4 linked regions of the Macaca fascicularis genome follow. The protein of the gene in region 3 interacts with the protein of the main gene of each other region in a pairwise test. Links are inferred from orthologs where the notes say so. Each region holds a gene or a part of one and is shown on either strand. Other genes may lie near its edges.

Region 1 (5,157 bases), on a different chromosome or scaffold from region 3:
TGGTACTCTTTTATTCAAAGATGTAATGTTATAAATGATAATTAGTTCCCAGGCTAGCCTACAAATGATAGGTCAGATATATAACACTCTAGTAAGGAAAGAGCAGCAGACACCACTGGCAAGAAGCTGCTTGTTAATTTTCGTTTTTGAAACAGAGCATGTGAGGACTCACAAGTGGACACTCAGGGCAATAAACAAGTAACGAAGTAGCTCACCCCCTATCTTGCTAAGCAACCAGAAGTTTCCAAAAGTAATTGCATATTCCCATGTGCAACAATTGTTATATCTGAATACTCAAATAATGAGCATCATACTATCTTATGGTGATTTGCCTGGAAGTTTGGATGACTGTTTGGAAGAAGAGTCATTTCTGTTTTCCAGCAGTAATTCATTCTTTCCACAAAGACTGAGCAACTCTAGATACTATCTGCCAGCCTGTGGCGACAGGTGAATATTCTTGGGGAACTGACGCTCCAGCCAGTGCTCAGGGCTTGTTTTAATCTGACTCTGAATGCAGTCTTCCTTCCTCATGTGCACTGCAAAGTGGGCTGCAGGGTAGAAGGGACCTCACTTGGGTGGGGCTGTGGTGGAGGTGACATGTACATCCCTGAACAGCCAAGCACACGTTTCTTCAGTACAGATGAAGTCATCTGCTTTGTAACTCATTAGAACTACGCTATAGTGGCCATTTCTTTTCTTGTTTGGTTATTTACAAAAGTAACTTGTATCTATTTGTAAAAAGTCAAACAATTCCGAATTGTATAAAGAGAAAAAGATAATCTTCATGCCCCTTTTCAATCTCATCACTCTAAATTAACTAATAGTAAATAATTTGGTTAAACAAGGTTTTTCATTCTCCTCACTTTTTTTTTTTTTTAATAGGGCAAAGTTGAAAACAGGAACACATTGGACCTTCTATTCTCAAAAGGGAATAAGATGTGGAAGAGATAAGATAGAGAAAAAACTGTGAAAGCAAGACTTTGTCATCAGGCTCCCCCCACTGCTTCTCCTGTGCCATCACTGCTGCTGCTGCTGCTTTTTTTCTTCTTTTTTGAGACAGAATCTCACTCTGTCAACCAGGCTGGAGTGCGGTGGCATGATCGCGGCCCATTGCAACCTCTGCCTCCTGGGCCCAAGCAATTCTCAAGCCTCAGTCTTCCAAGTAGCTGGAATTACAGGCACGCACCACCACATCCAGCTAGTTTTTGTGTTTTAGTGGAGACAGGGTTTTGCCATGTTGGCCAGGCTGGTCTCGAACTTCTGACCTAAGTGATCCACCTGCTTGGACCTCCCAAAGTGCTGGGATTACAGGCATGAGCCACTGTGCCCAGCCCATCACTGCTTCTTCTAAGCCACCTGGTGTGACGTTGCCTCTTAAGATGGGAGTGAGGAAAAGGGCACTTATCTGTCCAGAGGACTCCTGCTTTGCCTACATTCTGCTGTTATTAAATCATGGCTGTGGCTCTGGGAAACTAATTCATTAGGCCAATACAATGCTGGAATGCACTACCAAGAGAAGCTCTGGAGTCTGACCCTCTCTCGACACTTCAGAAGAGAAGGGACAAGCATGTGGTGTGGTGGCTCCAGTTCTTTCCTTGGTTGGTCACTGAGGGCTGGCCAGACAATCTGGCCTGGCTTTGCGTCCTGTTTGCCGCCATGTTGCACATGATGACCCTGACTGCACATTCATAACTGGGCTGTTTACACACAGGGTGGTGAGGGGAAAGGGAGGCCACTGACGGGCAGAAGCTGAAGGACTTACGCATCGCCTGCACTGATGGTCATAATTTTCTGGATGCCCCCGGTGTTTAGAAGGTCCCGTGCATTCTGGTAACTGTTTTGGATTATGTTGTTCAATGTGTAACAGGCAGAAGCTGTAGTTTCAATGAGAAGGTCAGTACTTGGGACTGTGTCAGGAATGATGGAAACCAAATCGGGGAGAGTTTCTTTGGCTACAAAATGAAAAAAAAAAACACTTGATTTAAAAGATTGTTTCTTAATCCCAAAATCCCAATACATTTTGGGTAATGAACATTTTTTTTTTTTGAGACGGAGTCTTGTTCTGTGCCCAGGCTGCAGTGCAGTGGCATGATCTTGGCTCAATGTAAGCTCCGCCTCCCGGGTTCACTCCATTCTCCTGCCTTAGCCTCCCGAGTAGCTGGGACTACAGGTGCCCGCCACCACGCCTAGCTAATTTTTTTGTATTTTTAGTAGAGAGGGGGTTTCACTGTGTTAGCCAGGATGGTCTCAATCTCCTGACCTTGTGATCAGCCCGCCTCGGCCTCCCAAACTGCTGGGATTACAGGCGTGAGACACCGCGCCTGGCCAAGAACATTCTTAAAAAGAAACACAGCTGGTTGACAACACATGGAAAGATGTAATTTCCCTAATAACAAATTTTTTAAAATATTTGAAAAGAGGATACTCTGTGCTCAGCACATTGAAAATCTTTTCAGAATGTAATTTGGCAGAAATGTCAAGAACTTAAAACATTTTCATCTTCTTCAATTCGGTCATTCCATGTCTAGTAATACATCTTAAAAACATCACTTTGAAAATGGAAAAAGCTTTCTACAGAGATCTTTATGACAGTACTACACGTAAATGAAAAACTAAAAAGCCTGAATATCCTAATAATAGGAATATGATTAACTAAAACACACCTGCAGAGACTATTACTCATCACAAAACCTATCTATGAAGCATGTGTAATAAAAAGAAAATAATTATGCTAATAGTGTATGTGAAAAATCTGTATATTTATTTATATAAAGAATACATAATATTATTGGCCAGGTTTGGTGGCTCACACCTGTAATCCCAGCACTTTGGGAGGCTGAGGCGGGTGGATCACTTAAGGTCAGGAGTTCAAGACCAGCCTGGCCAACATGGTGAAACCCCGTCTCTACCAAAAATACAAAAATTAGCTGGGCGTGGTGGCACCTGCCTGTGCCTATAGTCCCAGCTACTCAGGAGGCTGAGGCACAAGAATTGCTTGAACTTGGGAGGGAGAGGTTGCAGTGGGCAGAGATCACGCCACCATATTCCAGCCTGCGCAGCAGAGAGAGACCCTGTCTCCAAAAAAAACGAAAAAAGAAAAGAATACATAATATTACCAAAAAAACCCACATAAGAAACCTGAGGAAAAATGTTAATAGGAGCTGCTTTTCTACAACAATATTAATAGTGAACTAAAATCATTTTCTTTTTTTTTTTTTTTTGAGACGGAGTCTCACTCTATCGCCCAGGCTGGAGTGCAGTGGCGTGATCTCGGCTCACTGCAAGCTGTACCTCCCGGGTTCACACCATTCTCCTGCCTCAGCCTCCCGAGTAGCTGGGACTACAGGCGTCTGCCACCATGCCCAGCTAAGTTTTGTATTTTTAGTAGAGACGGAGTTTCACCTTGTTAGCCAGGATGGTCTTGATCTCCTGACCTCATGATCTGCCTGCCTCGGCCTCCCAAAGTGCTGGTATTACAGGCGTGAGCCACCGTGCCCGGCCAAACTAAAATCATTTTTGAGGCCAGGCACAGTAGCTTATATCTGTAATCCCAGCACTTTAGAAGGCCGAGGCAGGTGGATCACTTAAGCCCAGGAGTTTGAGACGAGTCTGGAAAATATAATGAGACCCTGTCTCTATTTTAAAAAGTACAATTAAATAAGTGAATAAATAATAAATGAATAATCTTTGCTTCCCAAGATTTTTTTCAATACATAAGTAATACTACCATTCTAAAAAGAGAAATAAACTATTTTAAAGGTACTTTTCTACTATGTATATGACTTCTTGGTTGTAAGTTTGAGTTTGGCTTTCTTTTTGTACTAATAAGAAAGGTATTAAAAAAAATAGACACGTCACTTTCACAATTAGGCTACAGAAAATAAAAAAGACACATAGACCAATGGAACAGAATAGAGAACCCAGAAATAAAGCCAAATACTTACAGCCAACTGATCTTTGACAAAGCAAACAAAAACACAGAGTGGGGAAAGGCCACCTTATTCAACATATTCAACAAATGGTGCTGGGATAATTGGCAAGCCACATGTAAAAGAATAAAGCTGGATCATCATCTTTCACTCAAAAACCAACTCAAGATGGATCAAAGACTTAAATCTGAGACCTGAAACCATAAACATTCCAGAAGATAATCATGGAAAATCTCTTCTAGACATTGGCTTAGGCAAAGAGTTCATGACCAAGAACCCAAAAGCAAACGCAACACAACGCAAAATAAGTAAATGGGATTCAATTAAACTAAAAAGCTTCTGCACAGCAAAAGAAATAATCAGCAGAGTAAACAGATATCCCACAGAGTGGGAGAAAATATTCACAAACTGCATTCGACAAAGGACTAATATCCAGAATCTACAAGGAACTCAAATCAGCAAGAAAAAAGCCAAATAATTTCATCAAAAAGTGGGCTAAGGACATGAATAGACAATTCTCAAAAGAAGATATACAAATGGCATATGAAAATTTTTTTGATAAGCTTCAAACAAACATGAAAAAAATGCTCAACATTACTAATTATCATGGAAATGCAAATTAAAAGCACAATGAGATACCACCTTACTCCTGCAAGAATGACCATAATTTAAAAATCAAAATATAATAGATGTTGGCATGGATGTGGTGAACAGGGAACACTTCTACACTGCTGGTAGGAATGTAAACTAGTACAACCACTATAGAAAACAGTATGGAGATGCCTTAAGGAACTAAAGTAGAGCTACCATTTGATCCAGCAATTCCACTACTGGGTATCTACCCAAAGTAAAAGAAGTCATTATATGAAAAAGACACTTGTACATGCATGTTTATAGCAGCACAATTCACAATTGCAAAATATGGAGCCAACCTAAATGCCAATCAACCAACAAGTGGATACAGAAAATGTGGTATATATACACCATGGAACACTACTCAGCCATTAAAAAGACAGACATAATGGCCTTTGCGGCTCAATTGGATGAAATTAGAGACCACTATTCTAAGTGAAATAACTCAGGAATGGAAAACCAAATATTGTATGTTCTCACTTATAAGTGGGAGCTAAGCTATGAGGATGCAAAGGAATAAGTGATATAGTGGATTTTGGGGACTTGGGGAAAGGTAGGAAGGGGTGAGGGATAAAAGACTACACATTGGGCACAG
Region 2 (5,746 bases), on a different chromosome or scaffold from region 3:
TAAATACGATGTTAACTTCATTAAACCAATCCCTAAAGTAAAATTTTTAGTAAATTTTATCTAGATTTAAAAGTAATTTTTCGACCAAGCATTATAGGCAAAAAAAAACAAAAACAAAAAAGTAATGCCTAACCAGAAACAAAAGTCATGATTAATTTGTTTTGAACAATGACAAACCACAAAGGGGTAAAGCACAAGATGCCAAATTTCACAATTAAATCATCTAGAAAAAAAAAATGTGATGGACTTCAGAAACCAATATTTTTCTTAAATCAAATTAAGTTTATAATAAGACTAACAATTACAGGAAGCAGCTTATTCCACACTAAGGAATAGCCCTTTTTCCTGCATGTTTGTACTGGTCTGATAAAAAACAATCAAGCTTCCTTGTCATTATATTGCCCATTTTAAACATACTATATGTCATACAGAAGCAATCTTTACACTGGGGAGTTGACAAGGCAAAAACTAAAGACAGAGTAAGATGAGAGATGGAGTAAACCACATTAAAAGGGGAAGGGGAAACAAACATTATCTAAGCGATATCATAGTGATCTCCTACATTTAAAACGCAAATGAGAACTATTTCCAACCAGAGAGAAATAAGCCTTTGTTAGAGATAATGACATAATTAACATTTCTGGATTTGAAAGATTAAAAATTATTAAAGCCTAAGGTTGGAAACTTGATAACAAGGAATCAGCTCTAAATTTAGAGATTTTAGATCAACACAAAAGCACAAGAAGCCTTTTAAAACTAAAGAAACTCAAAAGTATGCAGTTTTTTAAATAGTATACATAAGGTGAAAGTATTTTCACATTTTTGGAATCTCCTATAGTCTTTGAATTCAACATTTCAAGAATACAATTTAATTTTAATTAACCCTAAATATTGTCAAGGCCTATTTTCATTTTATCGTCGATAAAGGATTCCTTCTAAACAACTGCACTCAAGAAAAAAAACTTTCACCAGAAATTGTTACTAATACTACTAAAACTTTAACTTAACCGAAATATGCCAAGGAGAAAATATTAAGAGTGTTACTTTTGAAACGTCATGAAGTTGTGCTAATAATTTTAAGGAAAGTGTTTTCAATGTTCGAAAACACTATATAAACACATGACAAATCAAATAATCTATAATTTAAGTTTCAACTAAATTTAATATAGGTCAGATTACTGAGTATGTTACACATTTGGTTCCAACCATTTCCATGGTTAAAAAATAACTGGCGCCCCTTAGCGCTCACATTTGGAAATACTCAATTTAAGAGTTCCAGCAATTTTTTTTTTTTTTTTTTTTTGACATTCCAGAAAGTTTTCTGCCTCCACAATCTTTCAAATGCCAACACAAACAGGAAAAGCAGAACCCTTTAAAGGGACAGCTCAAGTTTTCTCTGGAGCAACTTGAAATTAACAGATTTGCTGTTCCAACAGTGGAAAATGCCCATTTCAATGCTGGTGAGTGCTGTATGTTTAACATATGGAAGCAAAACGACGAGAAAGCCGTAACACCTAACCATTTTCTACTTTTAAGTTGTTTCTTTGACTTTCAAGACAATAAAACTCCAGGGATTTTTCTTTAATCATCTTTTTATCATGGAAACATTTCCGGCCTTTTGTTCTCTAATGACATTCCAACTCCCCAAGCTTCAAACTCCTGTTCCCCGACTCTATTTTTAAAATCTCGAAATTCTTGCGAAAAATCTAAACTCCATTGCTCATCTCTTCAACCTAAAGTTTTCAGTTTCCTTTACACAGTCCTCCGGTGATGCCTCTGAGCAGGAAAAAAAAAAAAAAAAAAAAAAAAAAACTCCTGGCTAGTCGATTTTCGAAACACTTTTTTGTGGTCATTTATTTTTGTCTCTAGGCGTCCACAGAAACCCACAGCTACTAGAAATTAATACTCCAGATACTGCTATGAGAACTTCTTAAGGAAATTCCAGAGTTGGTCAACATTAATCTTCTTGTCATTCTTCGCTCCCCACAGCGCTCCATAAAGCTTTTTGAAAACTTCGGCTCAATTTTATTTCGCCCTTTCCAAACGTCTCGATTCCCTGTCCTACAAACTCGGGCGGCTGCGTCTCCGGGAGCAAACCCTCCGCCCAAGTTCTTCCTAACTCAGGCTGCGCTCCGATCTGTCATCGCGTTATTTCGCACTCCACCCCCCCCCCCACCCCCGAAAAGTGAAGTTCAACTCCCTAACAGTTCTCGCTTCCCCAAACAAAAGGGAAAAAAGTGCTTTTCGCCGTCACTTCGTCCTCCTTGTCGGCTACGCCAGCATAATTTCGGTCTCCTATGGAATTTCTTTAAACTAACGAGCCCCACTCTGACTTCCACTTAGTATTTACCAGCTGCACCAACTCCCCAAGCACGAAACCCCGCTTTAGTCCTCATGGGAGGGAGAGAGCTCCCGAACGCGGGGCAGCGGGGGTCCGCGCAGAGCAAGCTCAGGAGGTCGAGGAGAGGAGCGGGGCCCGCGCCGGGGACACGCGCGTCCTCCAGGCCGGCGGCGCGGCGTGGGCCTGCTCTCGGGAGGGCTTGGCGAGGACCACCGAGCCCGCGCAGCCCCCGCTGGCCTCTCGGAAATGTGACCGCCAAAGCCAGAGGGGCCGCAGGGTTCGCCCCGCAGCCCTCCGCAGCGCACAAACTTGGGCGCCAGCGGCGCGGGGTCCCGGGCCGGGCAGGGGGCGTCCGGCCCCGGCGGGTCCACCCCGGCCCGCCCGCCCGCCCGCCGCCGCCGCAAGCCCGGCCCGGCGCCTCCTTTGTGCGCCCTCCTGGCCTCCCAGTCCCCCCGGCGCGCGGTCCCGCCCGGCCGTGACCTTCCCGCCCTCCCCACCATCCCAAGCAGGGAAAGGGGCCGCCCCGGCGGGGATCGGGCCGGGGCCGGGGCCCCGGAGACGCTCACCTTCGTCCAGCAGCCGCTCGAGGTGGTTGAAGATCCCGCAGAAGTTGGGCAGGCTGCTCATGAGCTTCTTGTCGTTCATCAGCTGCATCAGGTAATCTGGGGTGGGCTTCGGCTTCTCCTTCGTTTCCATTTCCCCGACCATATTCCAGGCTCCGCAGCTCACTCCGCCCGCCGCCGCCGCCGCCGCCGGAGAGGAGGGAGGGGCGGGGGCGAGCCCCGGCCGCGGGCCGCTCGGGACCCGGCGTCCCGCTCCGCGCCGGCTCCCGCTCTGGCTCCCGCGCCGAGCCCCGGGGCGGCCGGCACCGCGCGCTCGCCCGCCCCCCGCAGGCACTTTCCGCCCGGGCCCGACGCGCTCCCAGCCGCCGCCGCTCTCGGCCGCCCGGCTCGGCGCGTCCCTCACGAGGCCGGCGGGCGGGCGGGAGGCGGGTCTCGGCTGGCCGAGTGCGGGCGCAGGGCGCGGGCCGCTGGCGCCGGACGAGGAGGAGCCGGGGCCGCCGCTCGCTCGGCTGGTCGCGCCCGCTCAGCGCCGCCGCCGCCTGTGCCGCGGGCTCGGGGGGTCTCTCTGGGCTGGTCCCCGCCGCGGCGCCTCTGCCGCTGCCGCTGCCGCCGCGCTCTGACTGCGCTCCTCCTCTTCCTCCTCCTCCTTCTCCTCCTCCTCCTCACTCACTTGGCGGCGGAGTTCGCCTCAGTTCAGGCGGCGCTGCCAGCGGCGGCGGCAGCAGCGGCGGGGGGGGAGGGGCGAAGGCGCGGGGAGGGCCGGGGGCGGGCGGCGGGCGGGGCCGCGCAGGGCGGCCGTTAGCGGGGCCCGGCCGGCGCGCTCCCGCTGCCCGACGCCCCCCGACCCGGGCAGCAGCCGGCGCCGTGCCCCCTCCTCCCTGCCTCCCTGGCGGGGCGGGCGGCGGGGGCGACGGGAGCGTGACGGGCGGCGGCGCTCGGCGGCCCCGGGCCTGGGCGCAGGGACTGGGTCGCCGCCGTGCGGGGCGCCCGGGGCGGGTGGGTGTGGGTTGCGGGGCTGACGGCCGCGGGGGGGCGCGGGGCTCGGGCGCGGTTGGGGCTGGCGCGGCAGGCGGGAGGAATTCCAGCGGGACGCGCCAGCGCTGCCTCCGCCTCGCCTCCCGTTACTATAGTTTTTTCAGAACCTCTCATCCACCCCGCAGAAAAGAAATTTTTTTTAACGTCCTGTTGCTTCACGGGGGACTTTCGGGGTGGGCATCACGTGGCCCGACACGTAGCCATGGGGCTCCAGAGCGCGTGCGCGCGTCGTGCCCCGTGGCCACGCCCCTTCCGAGGGTCGCTCCGCCCCCGCCGGGCCCCGCGAGCGCGCGGTGGGGGAGGGAAGGGGCCCGGAGCGCGCCTGCGTGGGGCGTGGGCGGGGCTGGGGGCGGCAGCCGCCTAGGGGCTGGGGCTGCCCGTTTAGGGCCGGGCGCTGGCCAGTCGCCCACGGTGCGGAGGGCTGGTGGGCTTGCCCTGGCCGTCGGGCCCGCCACCTCGCGGGTCTTGGCTGCGGGGCGGGGGTGTGGCGGGGGAGCCGAGGACTGGAGTTTGAGGCTTTCTGAGGCGCGTGCGGCGGCGTCCGCCTCTGCGGGGTAGGGCGCCCGTCGCGCCGGGCTCCCGCTTTGTCGCCGAGGGAACCACGCGCGACGCCCCTCCCGTCGCCGCCGTGGCTCCCTTCCGTGTTCGTGATTTGCTGAGAGGCTGGAAAGCAGCACGGCGGAGAGAAGCCTCGCGCTCGCCAGGCGGGGAAGCGTGCGCGGACACGCGTGCGCACCCACGGGGCGGTGGGCGGGCGTGGGGGGTCTGGGCCAAGCGGTTGACGCGCCGCCAGGGAAGCGATCTTGTTGCACCTTCTCGTTATTCTGAAAGCAAATCGTAGCGAGACCCGAGCGCAGCGGCTTAGCAAATTATAAGGGGAGCGTTAGTCGTGCTCGAAATGCTTCTTTCGCGATGGCATCAGTGTTCCGTGAGGGAATGAAGCCGCAGTAGGAAAGAGCCTGTGCGCGTAGTCTGAAAAGCAGAAGTCAACATTTTTACAGATGAAGAAAGAATACGGAGGCAAGAGGTCTTTCTCTGCAGTGTGGTGGATTTCCAACATTTAGATTTGTTTGGAAGAATGTTCTGAGCTGCAACAATGAAGTCCTCCTTGATCTATAGAAGTCGACAGTCCCTAAATCTACATCTGCATCTGCATTTTGTTGCAAATCCTTTATAACATTCCATTAAAATAATGCAGTTATTTAATATCCAGTTGATACTGAGTAATTCGCGGCTGAAATTTACTGTTAATCATTCTGTCTTCTGACTTAATAGTGAACGTAGGTGATTTTTTTTGTGAAATGTTGCTTCACACGAATTCTGAGAATCACCTCTAAGTTTGAGTTGTACTGAAGGCACTACAAGAATTTCAAACGAACGCTGAGTGGCCAGTAGCTTCTGGCCTTTTCATTTAACAAGCACAGAGTTCGTTTGTAAAATTAAGTTACTTTGACAGAGGAAATGTAATAGCCTTGGTAGACAACGTTAAAAATGTAACTCTCAGATATTTTAAATTCTCCAACAGCAGTATCTGTTTTAGAGCCATAGAATATTTACTTACTGAATTGCCTATTTAAAGATGAACTTTCTAAATGCAGGGAATAGTAACTTGAAAAAAAGCTCTGGTCTCTGAGTAATGAATGCTGTTTCAGTACCTAGAAAAATAGTTACACAAGGTTTTGATGCTGCTAGTATAAAATGCAACCCCCTTCTTAATGGCCTGCTTATTTCTTAAGCTCCTAGGCACTATGCCGAATGTTCTACATACATATCTCATTTAATCATCAGTACAAGTTGGGCTTAGGTT
Region 3 (5,697 bases):
ATGCCCGGGTGCAGCTCGAGCCCCACTGGACTGGCTCCACACTGTGCGGCTAATGACTTTCATTAGGGAGAGAGAGGGCTTTCAGCCATCCTAGTCTGGAAGGAGCTGGTAACCAAGGCCATAAAACTCAATCACACCTACCTCGTAGTACACACCACAGGGGTGAACTGACTTTACACACTCGGTTCTCAAAATTCCCAGCTTAGACAGAATACCAGCTAACGACTGACCTTTACTAACCTTATAAAAGGATTAAATTTCATTCTTTCAACAGGTATTTCCTAAAGTGTCAGGTGTTTGGGGGAAGGTTTCCGTATTTTTCATGACTCAGTTCAAATGCCACCTCCTCCTGAAAGCCCTCTGCAGTCTCAAGTGTGCTCTACCTGTGGGCAGGGAGTCTACCTCTGGTCCTGACTCTGCCTTAAATTTTGTGGTCCCAGTAAGGTGATATTACCTTTCTGGAGTCCAGCAAAATGAAGGGCCCTTCCAGCATCAGCATCAGTCAAGGAAGGGGTCACCCTGAATGCTCAGAGTCTTTCAGCCCACTGCCCTGAAAAGCACAGGCCATAGCCCAGGCCGAGTGGTGCAGACTGGTCCACACGTGTGCTCCCAGAGACACACACACTGTGTCTGGGCAGTGCGTAAAGCCATCCACCAGCACTCGGGGGTTGGCATGGAGTGGGCACACAGTTTATGACAGCTGGCTTCCTGGGAATGAGGATCCATCAAAGCAACAGGGGCTGCTGGGAGGAGGAGGAAGCTGGCAAGAAATGAGGGGTGGGACTCACCAAGCCTCCGCCTTGGTACTGGCTGCGGGACACATGCCGGAAGCCCTGCTGCAGGGGGACGCCAGGAGGGGCGTCCAGGTAGCCCAGCGGGAACGGGCAGTAGGGGTGCATGCTGGAGCCGCCAGGGTACTCAGGGCCCAGTGCACGGTCCGGGTTGATGCTCACAGGGCGCCCTGAAGAAGGCAAGCAAGGAGGGAAGTGTTAGACACCGCTGGGAAAAGCATCCGCAGGGTGGCACAGGCCGGCGGAGTCGTAAGCGCTGCTGTCCAAGCACAGAAAGCCCACCCCGCCCTTCCTTCCGCTGGGCCCTCACTGCATCTCCATCCTCCAGCCAGCCCCGCTGCTCTTGGAGAGTCCTCGGCACGGCCATCAAGCCCGCTGTGGGCCCCCGGCCTGCGGCTCCCCGCTGCCCACACGCCGTCTGCCCACACTCTGCCTCTACGAGTCCTCCGTGCCAAGTTACTCTTCCTCCGGGTCAACAGTGAACCCGGCCATGGCTCGAGCTCTGGACAGCGATTTGTGTGACTCTTCAATCAACCCTGTCCCTCCCACAAGGACAAGGTCCCTGAGGGCAAGAAATGTGACCCGCGTCCTTCATCACGAATGCCTGGCTCATAGTTCAGCCCAGCCCTGCTTGTCTGTTGAGATGGAACAAAGAAAGGCGGCTTCTCCTAGAATTGCAGTTTCAGACCTGTGACCCCATCAGATGGGGCGTTCCCTGGGGACCTAGATTTTCCTGGAAAGTCAGGAAGGCGGGACGAGCCTGCGGAAGCCTCTGGACCAATGCCCTGGCACACAGAGGGCAGGAGCTTGTCCAGCGTGACCCAGGCTCCCGCCTCGGCCTCAGCCCGTCCCACGACACCACCATGGGGAGACACCAGGAAAACGCGTCCACACCAAACCCCGGGGCTTTTAAAGCTTCAAATGTACATGTGACTTGAAACTGTACTTCAATACCGAAAGCTCCAAGGCACAGGGAACAATGTAATTTATGTACCAGGTGAGGGGCAAAAAGAAAGGCAACATCTTTACAGACCAACTGTTCTCTTACGTGTAGTAAAGCAGCAGGCTCGGCTCACCCGCACGTGGGGAAAGGGAGGGAAGAGGTGCACAGGCGCACTGGTCCAGGGCCGTGCTGAGGGGAGGAGCCTCCCGACCGCGAACAGGGAAGGAAGAGTGCGCAGGCGCAGTCGTCCTTGCGCTAACCTGCCGGCAGGAAAAGTCTCTTATTCTGGAGGAGGAGCCTCCAGCCCAAGGAAATGGCGGGAAGAGGTGCGCAAGCGCAGTAGGACTGGGCTCCTCGAGGCCTCTTCCCGGAGGAGGAAGCACTGCTAAGTCGACTGGACGCCATTTTGTTCTTGCATGCCAGAATGGCACAAACTACAGCTAAATGTTAAAAGCCCTTTGAGCCAAGCGCGGTGGCTCAAGCCTGTAATCCCAGCACTTTGGGAGGCCGAGGCGGGTGGATCACGAGGTCAGGAGATCGAGACCATCCTGGCTAACATGGTGAAACCCCGTCTCTACTAAAAATACAAAAAACTAGCCGGGCGTGGTGGCGGGCGCCTGTAGTCCCAGCTATTAGGAGGCTGAGGCAGGAGAATGGCGTGAACCCGGGAGGCGGAGCTTGCAGTGAGCCGAGATCGCGCCACTGCACTCCAGCCTGGGCGACAGAGCGAGACTCCGTCTCAAAAAAAAAAAAAAAAAAAAAAAAAGCCCTCTGAACCGCCCATTCCCTTATGTTTCCTTTTTGCGAAAAGGTACCCAATCCAAATCCCCGTTCCAAGAAGGGTTTCTTAAAGCAGAAGGTACGTTACCCGTGGAAAGCATTCTCCCCACCCCAAACCCCTATGCCAGCTGCCCATCCGGGCTGGCCTGTACTGCCAGCTCGGGGAGTCCACCGCGGGACTGAGGCCACGACTTACCAAAGTCGGTGAACGGCGGGCCAGGCACGGGCCGCAGCGGCCTGCGCAGGTCCAGGGGGCCGGGGTAGCCACTGCCTGTGGCCTCCGCCCCAAAAGGGGGTCCCGCAAGGCTGGGCATCGCCACGGCGGCTCGCTCGCTCGGCTCCACGTGGCCGCGGCCGCCCAGAACCGGTTGGAAGGCGCTCGGGCCGGGACTCCGGCCCCGCGGGGGCCGCTCGAAGAAGCAGGCGGCCGCGCGGCCCTCGGGTCCCGGCTCGGCGTCTCCGGAGGGAGTCCCCGGAGGCAGAGGGCGCAGGCTCCCGCCCGGGAGGGGAACGGGCGCGGCGGCCGCGGCCCCGGAGGCCTGCTCTGGACCCTGCGCACACAGGGCCGCCTCCTGCTCCTCCTCGGCGGCCTGCGTCTTGAGCACCTTCTGCGCGGCCATGATCTTCTGGCGCTCGGAGATCAGGTAGCACTTCTCGCAGAGGCACTGCTTCCAGCGGCATTTGCCTGCGTGGCCCTTGACGGGAACCAGGAAGCCATGGTTCCTGCATCTCGAGCACTTAGGGGTGCGCACCATCTTGTCGGCCATTGGCAGGGTCAGCCTTCGTAGCACAACCACCACCTCTGGGAGCTGCAGAGCAAGTGGCGCTGGGTTGAGCCGCGCCCCACAAGTCCCTGGTTCTGGGGACATTGGATACACTTGTAACAAAGCACCTCGCAGTGTGTCCCGGGAACTGCAGCAAGAACCTTGCATTTTCCCTCCTTTTGGGGGGTGCACAGTTTGGAGAGTTTCTGTGCTTTGGGTAATTAGATGCAATGGACTGGGTTGCATAAATTCTTAATGGGATTCTATTGCATGTATGTCATTTAGCTTATCTGAAGTCTTAGGCATGTAATTTTCCAAACTCTATTCCCGCCACCGACGGAAGGTATTTGTAACTTCAGGAAAGGCGGAGTGATATTCAACGGTCCACAGATTTAAAACTCGGGAGGAATGTAGCTTTCAGTGTAGAAAAGCACTGTAAGAGGCAAACCGTATTTCTCCTCCCTAAAGCTGCTGCTTCTGTGGCATTTCACTTCTCTGCCGTGCAGAGATGCTTCCAGGATATTCCAGAATATTTTCAAGAGCTCAGTGCAGTGTGATGGTTGCTCAAGGGTATGCCCTTGCAGTAATTCCCGTTTCTTGAGAGTCTTTGTGTAGAAATCCTCTTCTGGAGGATGGCACATTGCTGATGTTCATGCCTTCCAAAGTAAGCATACTTAGAATATTTTAAAGTAAAATAGGCAGAATATTCTGGCACTAAGCCTGGCATAGTGTCCTGTGCCTGTAGCCCTAGCTGCTTGTGAGGATCACTTGAGCCCAGAAGTTGGAGACCAACATGAGCAACATAGCGAGACTCCTGTTTCTAAAAAATTAAATAAAACAAATTCTGCAAGACCCCTGTTTCTAAAAAATTAAATTAAAAAACTGTCTAGCACTAGCTTCAGTAATTGCTTAACCTCATCATGAATTTTGTTATCCTTATAAAACAACGCAAATATTGGGACATCTGAAAAGCTAACACAAACGTCATAGTTTACCCAAGGACATTAAGGTTTTTTTGTTTTGTTTTTTCTTTTTTTTTTTTTTTTTTTTGAGACAGAGTCTCACTCTGTCACCCAGGCTGTAGGGCAGTGGCGTCATCTCGGCCCACTGCAACCTCTGCCTCCCAGGTTCAAGCGATTCTCCTGCCTCAGCCTCCTGAGTAGCTTGGATTACAGTCACCCGCCACCATGCCCAGCTAATTTTTATATTTTTAGTAGAGACGGGGTTTTCGCCATGTTGGCCAGGCTGGTCTTGAACTCCTAACCTCAGGTGATCCGCCTGCCTGGGCCTCCCAAAGTGCTGGGATTACAGGTGTGAGCCACCGTGCCCAGCCATTAATTCATCTTTTAAAAACAAATTTGTAACACCCTGAGGCCTCTCTCTCTTTTCCCCCTACCTCCCCACTGCCTCCATTTTCCTCCCCTCCCCTCTCCTCCCTTCTTTGTCCTAAAAAAGGAAAAAATGGGTCACTAACAAGCCGAAAAGCTTCTAAGTAGATCAGTCACATTTAAGGAGGAGTTACAGTTAACAAGTGGCTAAGGCCGGGCACGGTGGCTCAAGCCTGTAATCCCAGCACTTTGGGAGGCCGAGACGGGCTGATCACGAGGTCAGGAGATTGGGACCATCCTGGCTAACACGGTGAAACCCCGTCTCTACTAAAAAAATACAAAAAAACTAGCCGGGCGAGGTGGCAGGCGCCTGTAGTCCCAGCTACTCGGGAGGCTGAAGCAGGAGAATGGCGTGAACCCGGGAAGCGGAACTTGCAGTGAGCTGAGATCCGGCCACTGCGCTCCAGCCTGGGCGACAGAGCGAGACTCTGTCTCAAAAAAGAAAAGAAAAAAAAAAGTGGCTAAAATTTGTGCATTTTTCATTGCCCTTTCTTTGAATTCCTCTCTTTCTGGTGGTAGAATGGGAGAAGCCCACGCCTGGTGTCCACCTTGATTTTTTTGAGTCTCTGATCGTAGTTGTACCTTGCGTTTCTTACTAGCTGCCTGCGAATAGGAAATAGTTACCATTTGGGGGCTTGTTAGACACTGGAAAGCGAAAAAGGGTTTGTAAAGTCTTTTTCTGCTTTAAAAAAAAATCTTAATAAGAAAGTAAAAGTAAGTATGTGTTTCCTGTATTACTTGGCTTGTTAGGAACTTCACTGGTAGCTCTGCATCCATTTAAGGAGGTCTAGGTTTGTTTCTGCTTTGCTGTAACAACCTCTCAGTTAAGTTTTTATTTTAAAACTATGATTAGTGGGCCGGGTGCAGTGGCTCACGCCTGTAATACCAGTACTTTAGGAGGCCAAGGGAGGTGGATCACTTGAAGTCAAAAGTTCAAGACCAGCCTGGTCAACATCTCTACTTTAAAAAAACACAAAAATTACCTGGGTGTGGTGGCGGGCACCTGTAGTCCCAGCTACTCGGGAGGCTGA
Region 4 (5,936 bases), on a different chromosome or scaffold from region 3:
GACCTCATGATCTGCCCGCCTCGGCCTCCCAAAGTGCTGGGATTACAGACATGAGCCACCATGCCCGGCCAGTATTAGTAACTTTTAACAGGAAGTTCTTCCTGAAAGCTAACCATCCTCCCTCTTACTGTCACTGCTCTCAACTTCTCTTTCCAAAGGTTCCCCAGCCCAGCTCTTCCCTTAGGCACTGGTCCCCAAATTCTGCACCAGTCCAGTCTGGACACCTGAGAAAGGAATAATATCTGGAATGAATCCTGATTCCTGCTTATTTCCCCAGAAGCTATAAATGGGGTACAGGAGGTAAGACCGAAGAAATAAATAGCCTGGCTTCTAGTACTGTCTGCTGTAATCCCAGCACTTTGGGAGGCTGAGGTGGGTGGATCACCTGCGGTCAGGAGTTTGAGACCATCCTGGCCAACATGGTGAAACCCCATCTCTACTAAAAATACAAAAATTGGCTGGGCATGGTGGTGGGTGCCTGTAATCTCAGCTACTCGGGAGGCCGAGGCAGAATTGCTGGAACCGGGGAGGCGGAGGTTGCAGTGAGCCGAGATGGCACCATTCCACTCCAGCCTGGACAATAACAGCGAGACTCCGTCTCAAAAAAAAAAAAAAAAAAAAAAAAAAAAAAAAAAAAAAAAAAAAAAAACCAAAACATTTGAGGCCAGACATGGTGCCTCACACCTGTAATCCCAGCACTCTGGAGGCCCAGGTGGGAGGACTGCTCGAGGCCAGGAGTTTGAGACCTGCCTGAGCAACATAGCAAGACTCCTGTCTCTATTTTCTTTTTTGAGACAAAGTTTCCCTCTGTCACCCAGGAGGCTGGAGTGCAGTTGTGCAATCTCAGCTCACTGCAACCTCCGCCTCCCAGGCTCAAGTGATTCTCGTGCCTCAGCCTCCAGAGTAGCTGAGATTATAGGTGCGTGCCACCTCGTCCGACTAATTTTTGTATTTTTAGTAGAGACGGGTTTTCACCATGTTGGCTAGGCTGGTCTCAGAACTCCTGACCTCGACTGGGCGAGGTGGCTCACGCCTGTAATCCCAGCAATTTGGGAGGCCGAGGCGGGTGGATCACGAGGTCAGGAGTTCAAGATCAGTCTGGCCAACATGGTGAAACCCCGTCTCTACTAAAAACTACAAAAATTAGCTGGGCGTGGGAGCACACGCCTGTGGTCCTGGCTACTCGGGAGGCTGAGGCAGAAGAATCGCTGGAACCTGGGAGGTGGAGGTTGCAGTGAGCCACGATCGCTTCACTGCACTCTAGCCTGGGTGACAGGGCGAGACTCTGTGTCAAAAAAAAAAAAAGAATTACTGACCTCAGGTGATCTACCCTCATCGGCCTCCCAAGGTGCTTGGATTACCGGTGTGAGCAACCCATGTGAGCAACTGCGCCCGGCCCCTTCTTAATTCTTAGGTTCGAAGAAACTTGAGGTATCTCAATTCAGCATAAGTGCTAAGCCTGAGGGAGGGTCCGGGAAGGTCCCTGGTTAAGGCGGTATTTCCTGGGATGCCCAATTTGCCCTTACACGGAAGGTGTGCTTAGTTCCAGGAAAAACTGCCCTGAGGACTGGAGAAACCAAAATAGAACTCGCCTCTGGCTCCAGATGAACTGCCTGTGTTTCACCTGAGCACAAGAGTCCCTCCCCTCTCACCTTCTTCAAGACGTGGCTCCAGCAATTCTCTCCCCTGTTGACCCCACAACCATCTTCAATTCCTGCCCCACTTATCTGATCCTCTTACAGCAAAACTCCTGAACAGCTGTCTATTCTTCCTTTCCTGTGACCCCACCACTCCACTGCGGCAGCTCAACATCGTCACCACTGACCTCCAAATGATCAACCCTCCATTGACCCGGCTGTCAGTAAGGCCGAAACAGCTGTCAGCCCTCACATCTCAGACACGCTCTTCTCTTGGCCCCAGGTCACCACCCTCTCCCGGTTTCCCCCTAAGTCTCTGGGCGTTCCTTCTGAGTCTCCTTTAGCTTGCTTGTCACAAGTCCCTGACTGCTCAAGTTGGAAGGCCTAGGGCTTGGTCCTGGGACCTCTTTTCCATCTACACTGACTTCGTTCAGTCAATAGGCTGAAATACCATATATACAGCCAGAGAGTTCCAAATTGCCTATGTCCAGCTTGGGTCTCTCTCCTGATTTCCAGACTTGTACAGATCTGGGCAGAAACCTTAGTTATGCCTGACTCTTTTTCCTCGCACTCAAACCAAACTATAGGTAAGTTTTGTCCGTTTTACTTTCAAACTACATCCAGAATCTCATCACCTCCACTACTCCTGTTCTGGCTGGAGCCACCATCACCTCCCTGTTTTCCCCCATACTCCCCACAATCAACACAGCAGCCAGATTTTGTTAAAATGTATTGGGGCTGGGCGTGGTGGCTGGTACCTATATGAGCACTTTGGGAGGAGGACTGCTTGAGTCCAGGAGTTCAAGACCAACCTGGGCAACATCGTGAGACCCTGTCTCAAAATTTTTTTTTTTTTTTTTGAGACAGAATCTTGTTTTGTCGTGCACACTGGAGTACAATGGCACAATCTTGGCTCACTGCAACTTCTGCCTCCTGGGTTCAAGAGATTCTCCTGCCTCAGCCTCCCCAGTAGCTGGGATTACAGGCGCCCACCACCATGCCTGGCTAATTTTTGTACTTTTAGTAGAGTCGGGGTTTCGCCATGTTGGCCAGGCTGGTCTCGAACTCCTGACCTCAGGTGATCCACCCGCCTTGGCCTCCCAAAGTGTGGGGATTACAGGCGTGAGCCACTGTGCCCAGCCTCCTGTCTCAAACGTTAAAGAGAAATATTCTTGGAGTTAATCTGGTTCTGAGAGTTATTTAGCTAGGGGAAGGGGATATTTGCCCTATAGGTAAGACTTGCCCTAATCTTAGGGATATTTACTCCTGTGGAGAGATGCAGTGAGGTAGCGGTGGGGATGTATTTTTCAACCCAGGGCAGTGACATTATCTTCAATTTGAGGAGTATTTACGTGGGTGAAAGATCCGCCACAGTCCAGAGTATGCAAATTGACAGGTTTGCGTCAGTCCGGGATGCAAGGACCTAGCGGGCGTGTGTGTGGGGCGGGCGGGGGCGGGGGTGAGGAGGAGGAACCTAGTTAAGGGCGATATTTACCCTGGTGAGGTGATTTTCCCTATTCTGAAATATCAATTCTTGCGGGGACGGTCTGCCCCGCCTGTCATTCTCAGACATATTTACAAAGATGGAGCTATCTTCTCCTTTCTAGTCGTGAGGGAGAGATGTATGTATCCCTGCGTATGTAGTAGTATTCAATCGGACAAGAAATCATGTATCAACGCAGGAGTGACATTTACCAGCTGGTATCATGGGGAGATGGGCACTCCGTTGCACGGTACATGGTAGTCCCTCTCCAAAAGACCTGGGTAAGTTCTTACCTTGCAGGAAGGAAGCAGAGCCATCTGGCCGCGACAGCAGGTTCTGTTCGCAGGCAAAGTGCCGGAGGCTGCAGCCGGGACCCCGAGGGCTGCACCCTGTTCCAATTTCAGCGCGGATTTTGGCGTCAGTATGCATCTCCTCCTCCATCGCGCCGACCCCACGTGCGGCTGCGATTATCACTTCCGCCCGGCAGCGCGCGCTGCGAACACTCTGCGTAACCATTGCGCACGCGCTGGGCTCGGCCGTCAGTCCTGGCGTCCGCACGTGGCTTAGCGTTTACCAACAATCTGGCTCCGCCCAGTCCCACCTCCTAACTCTGGCAACGCCATTGGACAGTTGAGAACAGGAGGCAGGCCTTGGCAGTGACCTGTTTTACTCTGGGCCCCCGGGCCCTAAATCCCTGAGGCCGTGGTCAGGTTGCCCTCTTCTTTGCCTGTTACAGGAGTAACTACAATGAGGCGACTGGGGAAAATTTTGGGTAGATAGGTTTTCTTCTCCAAATCTCTGTGCATTCTATCTACAACAGAATGGGAAGAAGGTGATTTTCTTGTCAGATGGTGCTGGAGTTTGTGTCAGGCACATAAAGGGGCAGCCCCGAATCTAGCCTACGTGAGTGCCCTACCGCTGAGTGGTTGCTAGCCAAGATGGCGGTAGCGATCGCTGCAGCGAGGGTCTGGCGGCCAAACCGAGGCCTGAGCCAGGCTGCCCTCTTGCTGCTGTGGCGGCCTGGGGCTCGGGGATTGGCTAGATCTGTGAGTACCTGGGCCCCAGGGGGTTTTCCCAAAGGGGATTAGGGATGTAAAGGCTATCTTCAGAGTGTGGGGTCCCTGAAGGATATGAAGGAAGGGCTGTCACAGAAGGGAAAAAGTGGGAGACCCCTTGGAGAAGACACCGAAGGGAAGATCTGCCACTTCCTTAGAAGAAAAGAACTTCCACTTCTTCAGGAGAGGACAAAACCCGTTTGCAACTTCTTTGTGGGCCCTGAGGGAGGGAGACGACTTGAAGAGAGGGATGGGAGTTCCTTATTTATTTATTTAGTTAGTTTTTGAGGCGGAGTCTGGAGTGCAGTGGCCGGATCTCAGCTCACTGCAAGCTCTGCCTCCCGGATTCACGCCGTTCTCCTGCCTCAGCCTCCCGAGTAGCTGGGACTACAGGCGCCCGCCGCCACCCCCGGCTAATTTTTTTTTTTTTTTTTGCATTTTTAGTAGAGACGGGGTTTCACTGTGTTAGCCAGGATGGTCTCGATCTCCTGACCTCGTGATCCGCCCACCTCGGCCTCCCAAAGTGCTGGAATTACAGGCGTGAGCCAGCGCGCCCGGCCGGGGGTTCCTTATTAACTGCCACTCGTATTCAGGGGAGGTTCCTTGGAGGGACAGGGGAAGACCGCGAGACCTTTTCCCTCAGGCTTTGGAGAATGAAACTGACTTTATAAAGGAGAGACTTTCTTCTGGGCAAAGATCCCTCTTCAAGAAGAAGAAAGAAGAGAGCAAGTCCCCTTATCGCAGGCTGCATAGGGCCTTGTATTTCTTTGCTCCTTTGCCACAATTCTGATTTTAAAATGAATTGTGTAAAAATTTTGTTTGGTTCCTGTGTCTCCTGATCGAATATCAAGACAGGGAACTCGTGTGTTCTGGACACTGTACAGAGGAGATGATTAATATTTGTTGAGTTAATGAGGGGAAAAACGGAGGGACAGAGGTACAGATAGGGCACTTTGCCCACATTTCTTAGAAACACTTGAGAAGGCTTTGTTTCTTGTCAAAAGGGTCACAATCCCTTCAGGTGGATGCTGTCAAAATTACACTGCAAAAAACCTGGGTGGAAGCCTCTCTTTAGAGGGGGAGAGGCAAGGGGTTGCAGAAGAGCTTTGAACTACATTTGACAGATAGGAGAGTAGTGGTTACATGGGTGGGTTCGTGTCCTTGCTCTGCCACTTTCCACTTGTGTATTGGGCAACGGACTGCACCTCTCTGGATCTATGGACCTAATTTCCCTCTCTAAAATATTAACAGTGGCCACCTCATAGGACTGTGAAAAATTAATATGTAAAATGCTAAGGACTGGACCTGGCACATCATAAGGGCAATAGGAATGTTGGTCATTGTTGATAGTGAGGGTAGAGGGAAAGGACAGAAACTGACGTTGGAGATGGGGAGAAGAAAAGGGTGACCTTGGGAAGGCCTGGACTGGTGAGGCCCTGCGGAAAAAAATCTTAAAAGATCTTGTGAGGTTGAGTCTGATCCTCTGATCCCCAATCCATAAGGAGGAGAAGATGGAATCTGTAGAAAGAAGCTCTGGGTAGGGGGACAAACGGGAGGAGGGTGAAGAGGATGGGCCGGGAGTAGGACGTAGTAGGTATCTAGGAATGGAGTCACTTGAAACAGGTAAATGCAGAAGGGCTGCAGGAGCAAGATGTGGGTAGGGCAGTCTCCTGCCTTTGGGCTGGAGACCTTTTCACTTTTTTTTTTTGGAGCAGTTCATATCCTCCACCGCTGATCTCAGTCCCAGGAGCCTATTGGCTG

What was found.
Region 1: the proteins of DMRTB1 (region 3) and PKP2 interact in a two-hybrid assay, tested with the Homo sapiens proteins (2 studies listed by BioGRID). The link is inferred for Macaca fascicularis from reciprocal best matches to the Homo sapiens genes DMRTB1 and PKP2.
Region 2: the proteins of DMRTB1 (region 3) and QKI interact in a two-hybrid assay, tested with the Homo sapiens proteins (2 studies listed by BioGRID). The link is inferred for Macaca fascicularis from reciprocal best matches to the Homo sapiens genes DMRTB1 and QKI.
Region 4: the proteins of DMRTB1 (region 3) and EXOSC5 interact in a two-hybrid assay, tested with the Homo sapiens proteins (2 studies listed by BioGRID). The link is inferred for Macaca fascicularis from reciprocal best matches to the Homo sapiens genes DMRTB1 and EXOSC5.

What each region holds. Positions count from the first base shown.
Region 1 is NC_088385.1:35,401,706-35,406,862, forward strand, and holds part of PKP2 (plakophilin-2), read right to left. Parts: intron 1,953-5,157; coding exon 1,763-1,952; intron 1-1,762. UniProt on the Homo sapiens protein: A component of desmosome cell-cell junctions which are required for positive regulation of cellular adhesion.
Region 2 is NC_088378.1:7,713,096-7,718,841, forward strand, and holds the start of QKI (KH domain-containing RNA-binding protein QKI), read right to left. Parts: upstream 3,529-5,746; 5' UTR 3,050-3,528; coding exon 2,908-3,049; intron 2,123-2,907; exon of another isoform or gene 1,590-2,122; coding exon of another isoform or gene 1,520-1,589; intron 1-1,519. UniProt on the Homo sapiens protein: RNA reader protein, which recognizes and binds specific RNAs, thereby regulating RNA metabolic processes, such as pre-mRNA splicing, circular RNA (circRNA) formation, mRNA export, mRNA stability and/or translation.
Region 3 is NC_088375.1:181,218,871-181,224,567, forward strand, and holds the start of DMRTB1 (doublesex- and mab-3-related transcription factor B1), read right to left. Parts: upstream 3,305-5,697; 5' UTR 3,282-3,304; coding exon 2,711-3,281; intron 962-2,710; coding exon 789-961; intron 1-788.
Region 4 is NC_088393.1:48,537,158-48,543,093, forward strand, and holds the start of EXOSC5 (exosome complex component RRP46), read right to left. Parts: upstream 3,627-5,936; 5' UTR 3,562-3,626; coding exon 3,414-3,561; intron 1-3,413. Other genes in the region: BCKDHA (2-oxoisovalerate dehydrogenase subunit alpha, mitochondrial), read left to right, coding at 4,059-4,166. UniProt on the Homo sapiens protein: Non-catalytic component of the RNA exosome complex which has 3'->5' exoribonuclease activity and participates in a multitude of cellular RNA processing and degradation events.